Linked DNA regions of Notamacropus eugenii. The protein of the gene in region 2 interacts with the protein of the main gene of each other region in a biochemical or structural test. Links are inferred from orthologs where the notes say so. Each region holds a gene or a part of one and is shown on either strand. Other genes may lie near its edges. The genes, in order: PML, SP1 and KLF10.

Region 1 (3,744 bases), on a different chromosome or scaffold from region 2:
GTTCTTTAGGGAATTTCTTCATTTCTGACATTTGAATTCTCAGTGCATGTCCATCAGAATTCCTTCTTGATTGTGGCCCTGGTTGTGAGGGGGGGTGGCACATTGGGTACTCTTCTTTCTCCCACTCTCTCTTTATCTGCACACTTTCTCCCTTAATTCCCATATGACAGATTTCACTTTTATTCCCAGAGCGTCTATAAAGGATTCTGGCATGAAAGTAAAATATGTTATTCTCCCCAAAGTCTTCCAAAGCTACCTAGCCATCCTCATGTCTTCCATACCATTTTTTATCCCTTCCTGCCAGTGTGACCTCTCTGAACTTCAGCATCCTCCAGCTCCTAGGCTGCTATGAACCTTCAGGAAGGTATTGTAGACCACCAACCTGTCTTGCACCAGTAATCTTTCTTCTTGGCTGCTTACTGGAAATCCAATATGAACCATTGACATTTATAAGCAGCCCCACTGACAAATATTTATTGAAAAAAAAAAAAAAAGAAATGTGAAGCCTTTTGTAAGTGATTAAGAACTTACTCTTACTCTTACAAACTCCTTAAAGGCTGAGATTATGTTATATTTATTTTTAGATCTCCCATAAATTCCCTAACATAGCATCTAGCACATAGTTGGAGTTCAGTAAACGCTTTCATTAGACCAGTCTGGGGGTGGGGAACTTGTGGAATCCATGGGATTCAGTCAAAGGGTCACACTTGGGGACTTGTGGGGCCACATGGAGGCCCTCAGCTTCGAAGGTTCTCCACCCCTGGACCAGTCCTTGGGGACTCACACTTTGGTTGAGGAGTCAAGAAATAACAGGATTAGAAAGCTACAGCTGAACTACGGTGTAGAATCCATCCATGTGCAACAGGAGGTAGCAAATCAGACATTCTAAGGGACCACCTAGTCCAATCTCCCCTTCAGGGAACTGGGGAAACTGAGGCATCTCAGAGAAATCAAAGGACTTGTCCAAAGTCACACGGATAATAAGCAGCAGAGAAGGGAATGTGAAGCCCCCCGCTTCCAAATTCAGCGATCTTTGGCTTGTACCGCCACGTTGCTTGGGATTTGGATACTGGAATTGGCAGACCAATGGTGGAGTCCAAGGTCTATCATTAACCTGCTGGGTGACCCTCCTGAAGTCGCTGAACCTTTCTTAAACATCCAGTTTCTCATCTGTAAATCGAGGGGGCTGGACTATCCTTCCGGCTCTTGAGATTGTGTGAAAGGGGTGGGGGTGAAGTGGGGGCGGGGCGGGAGTCCCTTCCGTCTCCTACATACTATGATTCAGAGATCAGCGTTGGCAGTGGTGGTCAGAGAAGGCTCCATCTTGAAGGTTGAGGAGGGGGAGCAGGCCTCGTTCAATGAGCACAAGTACAGAGGTGGTACAATTGAGTATGTGCAGAAGGAGAGGGGGGAAGAAGGAAAGGGGGGAAGAAGAAAAGGGAGGAAGGGAGAAGGGAGAGAAGAGGGAGGTGGATAGATGAAAAGACTGCAATTTAAGCAGGACCGTAATCCTTCTCTCTAGCCCCTCTCCCTTGTCTGTCTCAGCTCCCCAGCTTGACTGGGAGCTCCCGGCGGGCAGGGATCTGTCACCTCCTGAAGCTTTTTTCTTCTCTCCCCAGAACAGCACTCAGGGTGCGAAAGAGGGGGTCGGAGATCATTGTCATCCGGAACTGCATCCTGCACTGCCATCCTCCCAGGTCGGTCCAGTCCAAGGAGGCCAGATGTCCCAGAACGAGGAGTCAGGGTGAGGCTGCCCTTTGCTTCCCATCCCTCATCCCATCCCCTGCCTCCCCCAATTGTCAAGCCCCCCTCACCCCGCCCCCTGGCTTAGCCTCTCGGCTCAGACAGAGAAGGCAGGAGCATCTTGCAGGAACCCTGGGGGTCTCTGTTGCTTGACAACAGCTTCTGTTGCCGGCTCTCGGTACCCAGCTTGACCACGTAACCCTGCACCTTCCTCCCCTGTCCCCTTCGGGCAGCCCCGACTCCCGGGGCTCCTCCCTCAGCATCAGCATCAGCACCTGTCTCTGCCCTTGATCATTGTGAGCTGGAGGGACTGTGGGCTGCCTCCATCCCTAGGACTCAAGAAGGGTCAGGGACCTCCCTGGAGCCCACCCAGTGCAGGTGCCCCTGCAGTACCCACTGGACCAGACCCATCCCTCTCCGTTTCTTCTCCTTTTCGTCTTCCTTCTCATCTTCCTCCCCATCTTCCTCCCCACATTCCTCCTGTTTCCCCTTCTCTTCCTCCTCATCTTTTTTATTCCCATCCTCCTCTTCTTCCTTCCCTCCCCTCCTTTTTTCCTTCCTCCTCCCCTTCTCCTCTTATCTCTCTCTTCCTCTTTTATCTTCCCTTTCTCCTTTTTCTTTCCTTTCCCTGCCCTTTCCTCCTCTTTTTATCTTCCTCTCCTCCTCCCTTCTCCCTTTCCTCTTTTTCACTCCCTCTCCCTCCCGTCTCTCTTTCCTCCTCTTTTCTCCCTCCCTCACCCCCCCTTCTTCCCCTCGGTGTTCTAAAACGTCAGCCTCCAAGGTAGGCGGGCTCGCGGGGTGCTCCTCCCAGATGCCGGGCTCCCCCAATGCGCATCCCTCGCTGCCTCCCTCTGACCCTCTCCGCCCCGCTCCTTCCAGGTCACCTGCTGAGAATCGAAACTGTGAGGAGCTTTCCATGACTTCGGAGCGGGCCACCTCCACCAAGCCCGACCAGATGGCAGACCCTCCACCACCTTCGTCCCCTCCTCCTCCCATCCTGGTGTCGGTGGCCACGGCTTCCACCTGGACCTTCCCCAACGAGCCGGTGAGTCCTAGCCAGCCCGAAGCCAGCACCAGCGGCGGCACCAAAGCCCGCGCCAGCACCGAGGAGGTGAGGGCGGGGGCAGGTACCTGGGGCCAGGTAACTCACCTGAAGGGTGGGAACCTGGGAGACAAGAAGGAAGGGGTTCGCATTCATGAAGCACCTACTGTGTGCCGGGCGCTTTACAGAGAGCATTGCATTCTATAACAATAGTGACGATTGCTAGTGTACCTTCTATAGCCAGGCCTGTACTAAGGACTTTACAAATATTATCTCATTTAATAAGAATAAAAATAACCAGCTTGGGTATAGCTGTGTGCTACTGTGTGCCAGGCCCTGTGCTAAGAGCTTCACAAATATTTCAGTCGAGCCTCACAACCACCTAGGAGGCAGAAGCTATTATCAGCACCCCCATTTTACTGAGGCAGACCAAATGAAGTGACTTGCCCTAGGTCACTCAGCTAGTGATTATCTGAAGATCTGAACTGACAACAACAATTTGTACATAGAGCTTACTGTGTGCCAGGTACTGTGCTAAGTGCTTTACCGTTATAATTTCATGTAATTAAGAGTAATTGTCATCGCTAGCGTTTACATAGTGTCTATTATGTGCCAGGAGTCATACTTAGCCCTTGACAATTGTTATCTCATTTGTTCCACTCTGGTAGGTGCTGTTATCATCCCCACTTTACAGATGAAAAAACTGAGGCAAATAGGTGAAGTGACTTGCCCAGGATCCTGGTAGATATCCAAGGTAGAATTTTAACTCAGGTCTTCCTGACTCCATGGACTACTAGGTGATGCAGTGGATAGAGTGCTGGGATGGTATCCGGAAAACTCATCTTCCTGAGTTCAAATCTGACCTCAGACACTTACTAGCTGTGTGACCCTGGGCAAGTCACTTTACCCAGTTTGCCTCAGTTTCCTCATACGTCAAATGAACTGGAAGAGGAAATGGC
Region 2 (3,744 bases):
CCTGGGAACTGGGAGTCAGGGTGGCCGCAGCAACACTATTGACAGGCAGCAGGGTGATATTCCCATTCAGTGCTACTGGGACATTGGCCACATACTGAGTCTGTCCCGAGAGGACGTTATTGGCCAAGCCTTGGAGGGGGACAGCCTGCTGGAGCAGGTTTGGCATAGCAGCGATGATATTGCCTCCACTCCCTCTATTTGTAATAATCTGCTGGTTTGCCCCAGGTATTATCTGAATTTGACCAGAACCATCTTGCTGCACTTGGGCCCCAGTAGTGGCAAACTGCAGCTGTTGCCCATCTACAGTCTGGAACTGGGGGATTACTTGGTACTGAATGTTAGGCATCACTCCAGGAAGTCCTGTCAGAACTTGCTGGTTCTGTATGTTGGGGGTGGTGGTAACAACATATTGTCCACCAGAAACTGGGCGGTTCTTGGAGGATTCACTACTACTGCTACCATTGCTATTGCTGCCACCCTGATCCTTTGAGGTAGGGGTAGCCCCAGAGGAAGAGATGATCTGCCAACCATTGGCACCTTGGGTGAGTTGTGTGGCTGCTGTGAGATCCAGCTCACCTGAGCCCCCTGACTGGCTTGGGCCCTGGGAGTTGTTGCTGTTTTCATTGGGTGACTCGATTCTGCTGCAAGTGGCTGCTAGCAAAGCCAGTGGGGATGGCTGGGACTCCTGGTCAGAGAGGAAAGGAAGGAGATTATCGATGTGTCACGTGTCAGTCACACAAACACCAAGAACACAAGACAAAATACGGTCTACTACATGAAACATAAACACTAACATATCACAGGAGTCAGGCAAGTCCAAAAAGGACCCAGTGCGCGGTCCAGAACGGTCTGAAGAAGCACACCAAGGCGTGGGTCTCTCAGGCACTACCACGGAACACAATCTGAGGCCAGAACCACTCACGCTCCGTGTCAAGGCCCTGGCCTCCAGACGTGCTAGCGCTTGAGAGAATGCCCCGAACCGCTCAATGGACGCCCCAGTGGCAGGCTCCCGTCCGCTCGCTGCCCAAGCGCACCCAGGCCCGCTGCCAGGCCCAAGGTCCGGGCCGCACTCACCTGCCCGCCGCCTCCTCCACTGCTGCTGCTGCCGGTGCTGCTGCTGCGGGTCTGGGAAAAGCCGCCGCCCCCGTTGCTGCCGACGCCTTTCTCAATCTTCACCACAACGGGCATCTCATCCACGGAATGATCTTGGTCTGGAGAAGATGAAAGAGGCCACAACGTTCAGAGGCGGCGAGGGCGGGGGGCGGAGGGGGGCGAGCCGGGCTGGCCTGCGGGGGCCCCTTTCTCGGGCATCTCGGCCTCGGGGCGGCAGCGGGGTCTCCGGGCACGCCGCGAGGAGGCGGCCGGGGAGCAGGGGCCAGTGCTCCGGGGAGGCGGGAGGCGGGATGCTGGGCATGGCAGCCGGGCCCGGGAGCCCTCCGGGGGATGGGGGGACAAGAGGGGTTGGGGGCCCGGGCGGCGGCCCGAGGTGGGGATGGGGTGGGGGTCCCTGGGCCGAAGGAGAGAAGGCGGTTTCGGGGGCGGAGAGGAGGCGGGCCGAGGGGGGCCAGGGCGGTTTCGGAGGGATGGGCGGGACGAGGGCGGGCCCGTGGGGGGGCCCCCCGAAGGGGTGGGGGGGATCCACGGCGGGGTGGGGGAGGAGGCCGGGGGCAGCAGCGGCGGCGGCGGCGGCGGCATCGGCGGCAGCGGCCCCAAGGCGGGCGGGCGGGAGGCGGAGGGCCCGGGCGGGGCCCGCGGGGCTCCGGCGCCCCCTCCGGAGGAGCCTGGGGCGGGCGAGCCGCCCGGCGGGCGGGCGGCGGCCGGGGGAGGCCCGTCCCCCGTGGCCGGGGCGGGCAGGGGGCGGGCGAGGCCGCGTTGCCCCCTCCCCCGGGGCGGGCAGCCCATCCCCCCTCCCCCTCGGAGGCCCCGCCACTGCCCCGGCTCTCGCTCGCTCCCTCCCTCGTCCCTTCCCCTTCCCTCCGCCCCGGGCGGGACCAAGGCCGCCGCCGCCGCCTCCCGCCCGCCCCCCCTCTCGGCGGGGACCGCCCGGTTGGCCCGCGCGCGCGCCCCCTCACCCGCTTCCAAGCCCCCAGCGTGGAGGGCACGGATCCTTACCGCTCATGGTGGCAGCGCGGGCACGAGCTCTGGGAGGGGGGGTCCTGCAGCGGGGGGGGTTAGGGGGGGCCCGGGGAGAACGCGGACGCTGACGAGGCAAGCGAACCTGGACCGGACAGGGAGGGGGGGGTGAGGAGGAGGGAACAGCGCGCCACAAGCCCGGCCTAGGCCCCGCCCATCGGCCGCTGCCCCGCCCAATGAGGGAGGGGGAAAAGAGGGACTTACGGAAGAGAGGCGGATCGATCGACCAATGGGAAGGATTATTGGCTCGCTAGGGCGGTACCCGCTGTGCAGAAGGGCGTTGCGTGGCTGGCGTTTGCCTCATAGGATCGGCCCTCCATTTCGAAAGACCAATAAGAAATGGGTCTCGAAGAGAGAGGTGGGTCCTTTTAAAGATGGACTTGTGAATTCGCCAATCAACAACCAGGCGGGCTCTCTACGGCGCAAGGATTGGGTGATTTTTGTAGAAATGACGAGAGGGAGGATCAATCAGAGTTTTGGACATGGCTCCGCAAAGTACAGGTTTGCGCACACGGGGCGGATTTATCTGAAGGTGACCAATCACAAACCAGAAAGGTGCCTGGGCAAGCCATCATTGGAAGATTCCTAGAAGCGGACGGGACTAAATTTACATTGACGTGACAGGACAACCAATAAACCACGAAATAAGTTTTGTGAGGGAAGTCAGAGCTTGAGAGAGCGGAATCGGCCTCCCCTGAATCCCTTCCACCAATGAGGAAACAGATTTAGCCGGGCACCGCCCTAAATTGGCCAATGGGCGTTGGCCAGTGGCGCCTTGTACTGGGGAGGGAATGGGGGGTTGTGCCAATAGTCCTCTGCCGCCATGTTGTTTTTTTACCTAGGCGTCTTCACGAGCCTTAAGCGAGCTGGCGGCGGGGCTCTAGCCTCCGGGGGCGGAGTGTGGGGAGCCCACCCGCCCCCTTCCTCCTCCTCGCTCCGTCCCCCTAGCCCTGCTCCTGCTCCGCCCTGGCCCGTGCGGGGACTGGAGCTCTGGGAAACTACCCCCACCCCCTCGCCGCGTCCCACGCCTGGCCCTCCGGGGGGGGGGGGGGGGGGGAAGGGAGGAGGGAAGGAGGGAGGGGGAGGGGCAGCCGGAGGTCGCTCCTGGCACGTGTTCCGTCCTCCTTTCTGCTTACCCCAGCTTTACCCCTGGTTAGGCTCTGGGCACGCGGGGCTCCCTCTTTCCCCCGCCATCGAACCAAATTCAGATCGAGTACCTCCACAGAACAAGGCCTGGGGAAGTCCCCTCCGCCGGCTTCCACCCTAATCAATCCAAACTATGCCGGAAATCGGGGACGCAAGGTCACCAAGTACATCGACGTTATTGAAGGTCATAAGACTGTGAACGAGGGAAAACCAGATTAACTCAGATGAGTAAAATGCACACGGATGTGAGGGAGGAAAGAAGGAAGGGGGGGAAGCATCAAGGACCTCCCTTAGGCCGGGGACAGTTCAGGGAAGCCCAGGAACCCCGTCTGCCAGGGGAGGCAGTGAAGCTGCCGGGGCACCCCGAAGGCTCTCCTCCTTTTCTGTAGTTCTGTCCCAGCAGACAGTCTGGGTGAGGCCTGCGGAAGCAGCAGAAGGGATCCATGAGGAGGCTGCGGCCAAGGC
Region 3 (3,744 bases), on a different chromosome or scaffold from region 2:
GTATTGTTCCAGGAACATCTACCTTCTCTTGGTTTTTCAAAAATCATTTCTATTCTTTCGGCCTACAAAAAGACAAAATCAGAAATTATCACTATCTTTTAACAATTAAATGGTAAATTAAATTATAGTATAACTTAGGAAAAAAACACCTGAGTTACCCGAACACCACTTGATATTAAAAAATAAAGTTATTTTTTCTTTCCCTCCATATTATGACAGACAAGACAAAAATAAAGTGGCTGTTCTTCAGGAGACTGAAAACTCGTGTTAGTAGCAACAAAAAAACCTTTTAGGTTTTAAGCCTAAATGTTAACTAATATAATGGTCAAGAAATAAAATTTGCATTTGTGTTAACTACATGTAAATCAAGAGAGGTGGATCTGAAACCAAATGACACGCTAAATAGCTTTGGACAAGATAGTTTAGGGTGTGTGCATGATATATTAAGTTCCCCTTTTGTAAAAAGATATTTGTAAGACTGCAAAAATTCTGTGAGCTCTTTTGTGCAGTATGAATTTCTCAGAGAAAAAAAATTACCCTATCTTTTTCTTATAAAAGCAGTGAGATATAACTGGAACCAAGCACTGAGGCTTCAGGGGACCTAGGTTCTAATTTTGACTCAAACTCTACTGGAACAAGTCACTCTGGGCTTTTATTTTCTAATGTAAAATGGTGAGATTGGACTATATCAGGAGTTTTTACACTGGGGTCCATGAACTTGAATTTCAAAAATTATATTCCAATAGAATTCTTTCCCTTTGCATTCCTATTAATTTTATTTGATGCTTATTTAAAAACATGCTAAGAAAGGGGCCGTCCATGACACACAAAAAAAGGTTGTTAAAATCTTGGAGACTAGATGATCTCGAAAGTTTTTGCTCTTTTTATCTGTGGTGGAGGTCAAATGTAATGTTCAGAAAACTCTAAGCTTCATGTTAGACTATTTTATTTTTTGCACACCTGCAACCTTTTCCTTTTATGGCCCAGCAGTAAAAACCAAGCATTACAAGATATAAAAACCAAACGCCTGGCTAAAGTGAGTAATCAGCCTCTGAATAACCGAAAGCTTGGCTCTCATATTTTAATTAACTCGCGCAGCTATTCAGGTTTGGTTGGGTTTAAATACCAGTTGGTAGATACATACTTTCCATATACTAATATACTGTATTCCCTTGCACGAGTTGGGGGACCTAAGGGACTCAAAACCACTTTTCCCTCCGTGGTAAAAAATAGTTATTTCTTCGAAGCTGAAGTGCAGTATTGAAGAGCTTAACTAGTAATAATTTAAAAGAAAAAACCCACCCTGAAAGACAGGATGGTCCTAGTGCCATCCCACCCAGGCTTCTCCAAGTCAGGACAAGCATCGGGTAGACCCGCTTCAGAGGCAGGAACTCCAAAGCTGGCCGGGAGAGAACAGGAACAGGGAGGGGGAGGAAAGGGAGCGGGGCAGGAAGGGGAAGCAGGGGAGGCAGACAGAGGGAGGAGAACGAAGGGGGGGCTGGCAGACAGCGGGGGAGATCCTCTCGGGCGAGAACAACCAGAGGGGGCCGCCCTAACCTCAAAAAGGCTCCAGGGCGATTCAGGGCGGGACATTCCTCACTGCTCGCACGTACCCGCATCCCTCCTCTGCCATTGGCCCGTCCGGACCGGCGGCGTGGATCGGGATTGGCTAGCTCCAAGAAGGGGGCGGGAGCGATACGAGGAGGGGGTTGGGGCTGGAGGCATGTGAACAAAGCGTGATCACCGGCTGCTCCCGGGCTGGCAGGAAACGTGAACTGGGAATTGCCGCGCGTTCACCTTTCACCTACTTCCCGAGACCGCAGGGCCCAACCCGCCCCCGCGTCAGGGCGGGAGAGGGAGGAGGGGACAGGAGGCAGCCGCCAACCTCCCAGCAGTCCGCGCCGGAGGACTGGGGGTGGAGGGGGGAGGGGACCGCGCCGCACCCTCCTCCCCCCCCCCCCCCCGCCTAGGGGGAAGGAGACTCCCCCGCCTCTTCTTGCCTCCAGCCAGCCGCGGTTCCCTTAGGAACCGACAGAGGGGCTGGGCCTCCCTCCCCGCCCCAACAGGCAAGGGCTGGGTCACCCGGGGACGAGGAGAGGCTCCACTCCCTTCCCCCAGCCCCCTCCAGCCTGGGCGGCCGGGAGGGGCCGGAGCCGCCACCGCCGCGGAAACCCTCCCCCCGCCTCTCCTCAGCCGCCGGTCCGGGGGGACCCGGCGCGCCTCAGCCCCGCCCCCCGGCCCGAGCGCTGACCCCGAGGCCCCCACGCCCAGCCTGGCTGCGCTCAGATAGAGGCCGGGCTGGGCTGGGCTCCGCCCGCCCCCGCCCCCGCCCCCTCCTCCTCCCTCCTCCTCCAGCGTTCCCCGCCCCCGCCCCGGGACCTCAGACCACCTCGCAGCCCTCCACGGACGCTCCCCCTCCCCGGCCATTTCCGGGAGGCGCGGCCCCCGCCACTCCTTCTGACACGGTTTCCCAGACGGGCGGCCCCCAGAGACGTCCCAGCTCCCAGACTGAGCGGGGCTCGGCCCCCACGCGGCGTGTCTCCCTGCCACCCACGGCCCCGCTCTCGTCCCTCCCACAACCCCTTTTCTCGCGCTCCGACACCCTGCGGGGCAGTAGCCCGCCCCTGTCTGCACCCCCGCGGAGGGCAGCTCCCGTCCTCCCTCCTGTTCCCGGACTGGGCGCGCTCGGAGCCCTCCAGCCCTCGCTTAACGCAGCTCCCGCCCCCGCTAGTCCTCCGCTCCAAATGTCCTGCAACAGCCCCCTGCCCGTCCGCTCCCTCATATGCCCCCAGTAGGACCCCCCAAACTTAACTCGTATATAGCCTTAACCTTCCCCCCAAGCGGAAAGCCCTCCACCTCCTGCTTTGCGTACCACCTCCCCATTTGCCCCAAATTTAGGGCCCTCTCTTCCCAGACGTACCGCCCCCGTCAGTGCACCTGTACTCGACCCTCTGCATCAGTAACTCGGCCCCCCCTCCCCATTCCCTACCCGCCCTTTCCTCAATGTCCCCAGGGGCAGCCGCCTCCCCTCCTCACCCTTTCTGTCCCCATCCTTCCCGCTCTTCTCATCCCTGCACCCCTCTCCTCTCCTTTCATCCCTCCCGCCTTTTCGGTTACCTACCGGGCAGCCCCTACGCCTTCCCCTCCTCCAGGTGCCAGACCAGCCAGCGGCCCCCACCCTCCCCGCTGTCCTGGCCCTGCAGCCCCCTCCCCTTCTTCCGTCCATCCTTCATCAGAGCTACCTGCCCCAGAATCCCAATGCCTCTCCAGACCCTTCCTCTCCTCGGACACCCCCTTATCGATCCCCCACGTCCTCTCGGTCTGGTCAGCCAAGAGGCGAGAAGACGAGCCCCCCGCCCGGGACTCCAGCAGCTCCTCTGCTCAGGCATGCCAGGAGTAAGGGAGCCGGGGGGTCGTGGCCCTCTGGAGAAATGGTAGCTGCAGGGAGATACTGGGACAACTCACCGAAGGCTGCTGGAGGGAAGACCCGAAGTTGAGCATGGCTGGCTAGTGACGGGCTACCAGAGACACGCGCTGCCGCTCCCGCCGCTCCAGCGCTCCTCGCCGTCTGTCCACCCCCCCCATTCAGGTAGCCGCTCAGCCTGCCTAGCGCCGAGGGAGGGGGCGGGGGCGGAGCCTGCGCTGGTCCAATCAGCTGCAAAGGTGTGTGAGGCGCCGGCCAATGGGCTCAGGGGACCACGCGTGATCAGCGGCTGCCCGGCAGCGTGAAGCCAGTGTCAGTAG

What was found.
Region 1: the proteins of SP1 (region 2) and PML form a complex in vitro, tested with the Homo sapiens proteins (2 studies listed by BioGRID, with this or other methods). The link is inferred for Notamacropus eugenii from reciprocal best matches to the Homo sapiens genes SP1 and PML.
Region 3: the proteins of SP1 (region 2) and KLF10 form a complex in vitro, tested with the Homo sapiens proteins (2 studies listed by BioGRID). The link is inferred for Notamacropus eugenii from reciprocal best matches to the Homo sapiens genes SP1 and KLF10.

The regions. Positions count from the first base shown.
Region 1 is NC_092872.1:242,512,532-242,516,275, reverse strand, and holds the start of PML (protein PML), read left to right. Parts: upstream 1-1,282; 5' UTR 1,283-1,358; coding exon 1,359-1,376; exon of another isoform or gene 1,377-1,389; intron 1,390-1,619; coding exon 1,620-1,744; intron 1,745-2,622; coding exon 2,623-2,854; intron 2,855-3,744.
Region 2 is NC_092874.1:226,345,614-226,349,357, reverse strand, and holds the start of SP1 (transcription factor Sp1), read right to left. Parts: upstream 2,262-3,744; 5' UTR 2,120-2,261; coding exon 2,113-2,119; intron 1,212-2,112; coding exon 1,075-1,211; intron 686-1,074; coding exon 1-685. UniProt on the Homo sapiens protein: Transcription factor that can activate or repress transcription in response to physiological and pathological stimuli.
Region 3 is NC_092875.1:148,185,498-148,189,241, reverse strand, and holds the start of KLF10 (Krueppel-like factor 10), read right to left. Parts: upstream 2,900-3,744; 5' UTR 2,783-2,899; coding exon 2,390-2,782; intron 1,892-2,389; exon of another isoform or gene 1,620-1,891; coding exon of another isoform or gene 1,614-1,619; exon of another isoform or gene 1,594-1,613; coding exon of another isoform or gene 1,558-1,593; intron 63-1,557; coding exon 1-62.